Xenopus tropicalis: one gene and its partner. The protein of the gene in region 2 interacts with the protein of the main gene of each other region in a pairwise test. Links are inferred from orthologs where the notes say so. Each region holds a gene or a part of one and is shown on either strand. Other genes may lie near its edges.

Region 1 (3,831 bases), about 85 Mb from region 2:
ATACAGAAATCCATTATCCAGAAAGTTCTGAATTACGGAAAGGCCATCTCCCATAGACTCCATTATAAGCAAATAATTCTAATTTTTAAAAATGATTTCCTTTTTCTCTGTAATAATAAAACAGTACCTTGTACTTGATCCCAACTAAGATATAATTACCCCTTATTGGGGGCAGAACAGTCCTATTGGGTTTATTTCATGGTTAAATGATTCCCTTTTCTCTGTAATAATAAAACAGTACCTGTACTTGATCCCAACTAAGATATAATTACCCCTTATTGGGGGCAGAACAGCCCTATTGGGTTTATTTCATGGTTAAATGATTCCCTTTTCTCTGTAATAATAAAACAGTACCTGTACTTGATCCCAACTAAGGTATAATTACCCCTTATTGGAGGCAAAACAGCCCTATTGGGTTTATTTAATGGTTAAATGATTCCCTTTTCTCTGTAATAATAAAACAGTACCTGTGCTTGATCCCAACTAAGGTATAGTAAATTTATTGTAGGCAAAACAATCTTATTGGGTTTATTCAATATTTATATGATTTTAAGTTATGGAGATCCAAATTACAGAAAGACCCCTTATCCAGAAAACCCCAGGTCCTGAGCATTCTGGATAACAGGTCCTATACCTGTACTATGATTTAGGTTTTAGAATCACTTCTGTTTTTAGAAAATTGTATTTTCCTGTATTTTAAATTCCAATATTTTCTATAGTATGCCTCCCCCATAAGGCACACTAACAGGCCTACAGTCTGCTGAGGAAAGTTAAAGAACAGCAGCACTTTAGCAACCTGCCAATTGCTTAGTATATCAATGTATCACAGAATTATTATATCCAGAAGTTTGGCAACAACAAACCCATTACTATCCTTTACCATTCTGGAAAACCCTGCATAGCATTTGTTCTCCTTCAGAATCATCTTGTCTTTTATATCACCCAATCCTATACTTAAAGGATAAGTAAAACTTTAAAATAAGTGAATGTAGAATTGATGAGAGTTATTGTAACTACTTACTACTGCCACCCTAAGAAATAATTCTAAATCCCTTTCAATCGTTTACTTTACTTACACTATATATGTTATTTATATTTTGTTCCCTTCCATCTTGGAATTACACAATCACAGCAAGAAGGTGCCACTTTGTGGATACTTATTAAGGCAAGCTTTGTATCACCCCAAAATCTTGTGTATGTGCCAGAATGGGGCCTAATGCCCATCCAATGCACTGGCTATGCAGATGAGATGAAGAGTAGTGACATCTAGTAAGTGCTGACTAGAAAGTAAAAGGAATGGACATTTATTTTCATATGAGCAGTGCAGTTGGTGAAAATAAAACACATAAGGACCCATACAGGTTTCATATTAACAAAGCACAGTGAAGCAATGGAAGGAGGCTGGCACACACCTGCTGCAGAAGTCGTATCCTCATGGCACGGTCAGTGGAGGAAAACATTTTAACTACAACTGGAATGATTTTTTGCTGGTATTCATCAGCATTCAGAAATTTCCCAATCTATAAAAACACACGAAATGTTAAAATGCTGCTGTGCTATGCTCTGGGCATATCTGCAGTACGGCAAACAATACAATATGAAATTAAAGCTTTGGAACAAACCAAATTAGGGAGGGGGTGAGTCAGAGTACACTTCCACATTTGTCACAAGTGCTGGCAGAATTTTTGCCTTAGCAAATACTTGATATGTTGTTCAGACACAGTAATGCACTGCCACGTCACATAAAACCGCTCACTGTGCCTGTTTATTTATGGCATAAACATCTAACACAAGCTACCACACCTTAAAGGAGAAGTGCACCTTAGAAATGAATTAAGTATGTGTACAAGCTACTATAAGTTAAAGTAACTGCATTGTATATTGTTAATAATGCATATAATTTATATATATATATATAATTATGGCCTTTCCCTACCCTGTTGGGGTCATTATCCATAGCAACCAGAATGCAAACTAAAAACAATGGTACATATCCAAGTTAGTTTGAATAGTGTGAATTATAGCTCAGTGGGTGGCAACAAATTACTACATACCCACCCGCAATGCAATTGTCTGAAGGTGTTTGGCCATGTTGGAAACATAGCGGTCTGTATCGCTAAGGGCTCTGGAACTCCCCGAGTTGCCTTCCCCTGCCATCCCATCGGCGACAATGTAAGTCGCCGGCGGGATGGCAGACGCGGCGGCGCGATTTCGCGCAAATCGCCGAAAAAGACTCGCGAGGGGAAGGCAACTCGGGGAGATTAGTCGCCTGCGAACAGGGAGTTTTGCCGCGGGCGACTAATCTCCCCGTGTGCCAGAGCCCTAAAAGCTGAAAGTGCACTTTCCCTTTAACTTTAAGATGGTAGAATCTCAGGGTGGAAATGGAAATATAAGAATTTGTAGGCACACACTACCATTGTGAGAACCAACCTTACCTTGAAAAGTGGGGGCAAAACAACAGCGCCTGCGCTGCCAAATTCAAATGCTGTCAGCAGCTGTGGAAGGATTTTATGTCGACAGAAATCTTCAGGGAAGGAGTCTAAGTTTTCACTGAGCTGTTCAAAAAACGTCTGCTTTTCTGCTGGGTCCTTTATCTAAGGAAACAAGAACGAGAAGTTAAATGGGCAGTTTCCCTAGCCCAAGCTGTCTGTTTTCAATTTGTTCATAACAGGTAATTTATTTTAATCTATTGCTTGAGTGTGCTTGGGCAGAAGTCTGCCAAGGTGAACTGCTAGTACTTCAATTCCCAAGATCCCCTAAAGACACCAAAATATGCTTGAAAATTAGAGCCTGTGGCAAAGATGGCAGGACAATGGCCTGCTTACTCAGAGGGAATTCCTAGGCATCAAACAAGCAGTCTGAAAAGGATCTCAAAAAGGACTGGTGTCAGTCTCACAACTGTGTAAGCGCGATTTGCTCATAGGAAGAGCCAATGTATAGACCAGGGATCCCCAACCTGTGACATGTGAGCAACGCAAACACAAAAACTTTCCTAAAAGGTGACCAATAAGAACTCAGATTTGTTAAAGAGTAGCCCAATATGGACTGACAGACTACTAGAGGCTCTGTTTAGCAGTACACATGATCTTATTGCCTCCAAAACTTGCTTCTAAGTCAGAAATTCAAAAATCAGCACAGACTTTGGGGCCACTGGGACCAACATCAAAGGGGTTGGTGAGAAACATGTTGCTTGCGAGCCACTGGTTGGGGATCATTGACTTAGACCATCTCTGGAGCCCTCTCTGAAGGCTATGGTTCACTAAAAAGGACACTGAAAAAATATCTTATGGGAGGTTAATCAGGAGAATAAAGAAAAGAGCAGGAGTTGTCTTGTTTCTTAGAAAAAAAAAAGTTTCTTAGAGTTGCATTCTCTTTAACTGGATGGAGTTCCCCTTAAATTCAGGAATTATTCTCAGTAGGGGCATAAGCTGCAGTTGAGGTGTCTGCATGTCTAGGTTAGCTGGAAAAGATGGGGGAGGGGAACCAATTTAAGATGCCCATACATGGTCAGATTTAAGCTGCCGATTCGAGCCCTGTAGACTGATTCGGCAACTTATTTGCCCCCCCGACAAACCTCCCCAAAAGATATCTGGCCAAAAATCATCCAGGTGTCGATTGGAAATGTTTGATTGTCCCACTGGATCAGGAACTGCATTGGATCACTGATGCGGTCCTCAACCTAACAACTCTTATTCAATCATTAAGCACAATAATGCCCACCTTAAGTTAGCATATCAGGGGACGATACAGTTGTTTAGCGACCTCGCTAAATGAACGGATCTTAACTTGTCTGGCAAGTTAGCAATTTTTTAGCAATTAAAAAGCAACTAT
Region 2 (4,282 bases):
CTAACCTACTGCAGTTTTCTAACCAATCTCCCTAACTCTTATCTCTCTTTACTTCATTCTAGAATCCTCCTCCTCTGAGCATACCCCTACACTGCTGAAATCCATATCATGGCTTCCCATAAATCAAAAAATAACTTACACCTTCTTATGACTTTTAACCCCCTTCATTACTCTGAACTTGAATGGTCTGTCTCAGGGATTCTCAAACTACGGCCCGTGGGCCAGATCCAGCCCCCCAAGGTAATTTACCCAGCCCCCACTGCGTCCTCATCCCTGGCTACTACCTGTGTACAGATGCAGTGGGGAGCAGGGAGTGCGCTGTAGTTTGAGGATGCGGGGGGGGGGGGGGGGGACTACGGTCCAACACACAAACAGTCTGAGGGACCATGAACTGGCCCCATGTTTAAAAAGTTTGAGGACCCCTGGTCTATCTGATAAATTAATTTTGGTAATTTTCTCAAATCCTATATTCAGGTTTTCTGGGGAGGACTTCTCCCACTGCCCAGTGACATGAATAGGAGACACAGGCAATGACTGGCTACTTCATGGATCATGGATCCCATTGGTTGACACATTCTAGTGAATGGGACCAAGCATATGAAAATAAAGAAGGCATGTGTGGTACAGATCAACGTGCCCCCCCATTCTGCTCGTCACATCACACCAGGGGTGTCAGAAATCTAGCTTTGTCAAGAGTGGGAAGCTAAACATCACTGTAATGCACCTTTCTGGGTATAATATTAAAAATGCTGTTTTATTTTGTTAGTGAAAACCAAATAGTAGATATTGTTTAAAATGGAAAAAAATATTTATTTTCTTAAACTTTTATAAAGGTGAACATCCCCTTTTACACAGTAATATGGCTGTCATTGAAATTTCAAATTGCTCTGTTCACTAAATTCCAACGATTCCAAGCAGAGATAATGACTGAGGTTATATATATATATATATTTGTATTTTCTCTATCGTAATTTAATCCACGCCAGGCTGACAGGTTATGCTGGAGCAGCAGGTATGTCGCCCTTGACCCCACTAGACACAACTGTGCTGGAACGTTTAGCTAAATTTACAGAATATTTTTGCTTTACTGCGCAACCATAGCAACGAGAAGCGTGTTCGAATATGTGCCTGATAGTAACATGGAATCCATTTTCATTTCATTCATTGTCTTTGAATTAAGGTATTATGTTCTCATGACTTTCGATTCCATGAGCACCACGCCAATATTTAATGGCTCGGCGTTTCATCAGCAGGAAAATGTACTGTATCCCTTTGTGTCAGGCATTCTCCCAAACAGCCTGAGCAGCGCTCCCTGAGGGGAGGGGCCTCTACGTGGCAGGGGAGGCGGAAGTAGGGCTGTGTGCTGGCAATAGGGAAACATGGCTGGCTGGGCAGGATTCTCCGAAGAGGAGCTTAGGAACCTTAAAACGAAACAAGGTACAGGTAGGGCATTGCACATTACTTAGATCTGCATTGCGCCATCCTCGCTGCGTTATACTTATGTCAGATAGATAGATGTCAATATATAACATGGAAACCCTGCCACACTAGATAGATATGTGTAAATAAATATATAGACACAGCACTCGTACGTCTTTATAACAAGTTGATATTATGGTTAGACTCATATCTAGGAGTCGATTTTGCACTAATAAAGGATAATATCAATTTCTTTTAAAGACCTGTGAGTGCTGTGTCCATTCCATGGTTATAGTTTGTAGTTTGATATCTATATCTGGCACCCAGGCATTTACAAAATGTTTTCAGAGTGTGCCCTTTTTTTACTATGGTGTGTGTGTATATATATATATATATATATATATATATTAGTCTTGTAAAGAATCGGCACTCCCCAATATCGGGGTAACGGCTGGGTGCTGACAAAAATAATGCATCAAACTCAACAGTAGAAAGCACTCACAGCTATAGCGTCAATCAAGTCAGTGATTTATTTCAGCATACCATCTACGAGTTTCGATCACCACAGGATCGTCATCAGGATGATGTGTGTATATATATATATATATATATATATATATATATATATATATATATATATATAGGCAGGGTTCCCATGTTATGTTTTATGTTTACACGCAGCTATATATATATATATATATATATATATATACACAAAGGATGGCACACCACTACATAACATACCTCGGGTGCTCGGTAAAGGGTTCCAATAGTATAAAAAAGACCAGCAACCCCCGGGATTTCTTGTGAAAAATCAAAACATATATTCAAAGTAGCATAAACGGCCAACGTAATGTTTCGGTCCCCACCTGAGAAAGGTCCCGATGAGGGACCGAAACGTTACGTCGGCTGTTTATGCTACTTTGAATATATGTTTTGATTTTTCACAAGAAATCCCAGAGTTGCTGGTCTTTTTTATACTATATATATATATATATAATATATATACAAACACACACACACCTATCTGTCTGTTAGGTGCGTGTGTGTTTGTTCGTTCATGGTTAGGCCCAAACGTAAAAGGATTGCTCTGTAAAATACTCCTCCCAGTACACACAATATTACAAATTTGTAAAAATACATTATTAGCTGTCCAATAAACATGGAGCTGTCTGCTGCAGTGTGCCAGAGTTGCTATGTTTTATGCTTTCTTGATTCAAGCCCTGTTATGAGCCCTGACATTTGGTACTGGATCCCCCTATAGCTTATAACAGCATTAGAGATTTATGACAACATTGCTGTATCAATCATTGTGTAAGGGCAATGTGACACAGGGCTGGTGCCAGGGCAGTGTTTAAATGCCCATAATCACCCATTTAAATAGGTATTTGCTTGGACCCTACCAGATCACTCATGAGTCAGCTGATCATGTGGAAACGTCACTGTATTTTCAAGCGGAAAGTCTTCTGAAGTACGGTTGCCATCTTTTCTGTAAAATGAAATACCGTTCTTCCTATATTCTTAATCTTCTTCCCTATTAAAAACATTAACAGCAAACATCATTTTTACTGGCCAGGCCAATGAAATACCAGTTGAGGTGTAAATAAGAGCATTTTGCTTCCTGCCTCAGAAGCAGAAAAATTCACAGGAGGCCAGTCGCACTGATGCCACTGCCCTTCAAGACTGAGAATAAAATGTTTCATTGAAATCTAACTGATTGTGCTTACAGCAGTATCTAGGAGATCAAACAGGCATTCTCCCCAAATCTCACTGTAAGAATTTGAGGCTGTCCACTCACCACTATTAGGGGCAGCCCCAAAGTTTGGGAACTGTTGATTTAGAAGGCAACTCACACCAAAGAGGTCTCCAAACACAGTCATAACATCACTATTATATAAATCTTGCAAGCTTTTGTTTAGCTTTTTTTCTCCCCAATGACGGTTAAAAGGCATGTTTATTTTTCCTGTCTCTGTGCTTGAGGCTTGACCATGCATAAAGTTGCCGTGTGTGTTACACTTCTCAGACAACTGAAGAATATGAAGGGTATTTACCTTTATTTCACATAAGCAAACAAAATCATACATTATATATATATATATATATACACACCACACATTTTTATTAGAAAACTAATATTTAAAGGAAAAATACATGTCACTTTGAACCACCTTTATAGATACTAAAAATAAATCCACTGTGTTTCACTTGAAGTATTCCTATTCTGCAGTGAAAAAAAATCTCATAACATTCTGTCTGACCCAATGTACTACAACTTTCCCCATCTATAAGGATCCCTTGGCCCTCATAGATATTGTAAATGCTTAAAGGTATAAAAGGCCTTAAAACAATTTAATTAGAGCATGTGAAGGAATTTAGTTCAAGAGTTCCCAGTAACTACTGACATTTTATTAAATAGTAATTATAGTAATTGTGTGCTTATATTATACAGGCATTTTGTTGTTAACATATTAACAGCTATGATAATACCCAATGGGTGGAGAATGATGGAAATAACACTGAATAAGTAAATACTAAACTCACTTCATGCCAAGCTGCTAAACTGTGAAAATAAAACATATACTTAGGTGGAATGTGTTGGATTACACCTATACCAAGCATGCTAGTTATGCATAAATTGTATAAAAGTGTCAGGCTATATGATTATATAGTGAGACAAACACTGGCAAATGCCAATATTACCCCAGTGGTTTATAGTGATTTGAAAGTAACGTTACAGCGATGTTCATGATATGAAACATTTTTAGCTTGTTATACCCATTATTGACATTTCTGGAGTGAGGATTGGCACTGCTAAGGGCGGGACATGTGTATAAAAAAAAATTCACCACATGACAAGAATACA

The links.
Region 1: the proteins of gorab (region 2) and scyl1 interact in a two-hybrid assay, tested with the Homo sapiens proteins (2 studies listed by BioGRID and IntAct). The link is inferred for Xenopus tropicalis from reciprocal best matches to the Homo sapiens genes GORAB and SCYL1.

What each region holds. Positions count from the first base shown.
Region 1 is NC_030680.2:33,683,947-33,687,777, forward strand, and holds part of scyl1 (N-terminal kinase-like protein), read right to left. Parts: intron 2,595-3,831; coding exon 2,436-2,594; intron 1,521-2,435; coding exon 1,413-1,520; intron 1-1,412. UniProt on the Homo sapiens protein: Regulates COPI-mediated retrograde protein traffic at the interface between the Golgi apparatus and the endoplasmic reticulum. Involved in the maintenance of the Golgi apparatus morphology.
Region 2 is NC_030680.2:118,363,991-118,368,272, reverse strand, and holds the start of gorab (RAB6-interacting golgin), read left to right. Parts: upstream 1-1,334; 5' UTR 1,335-1,379; coding exon 1,380-1,443; intron 1,444-4,282.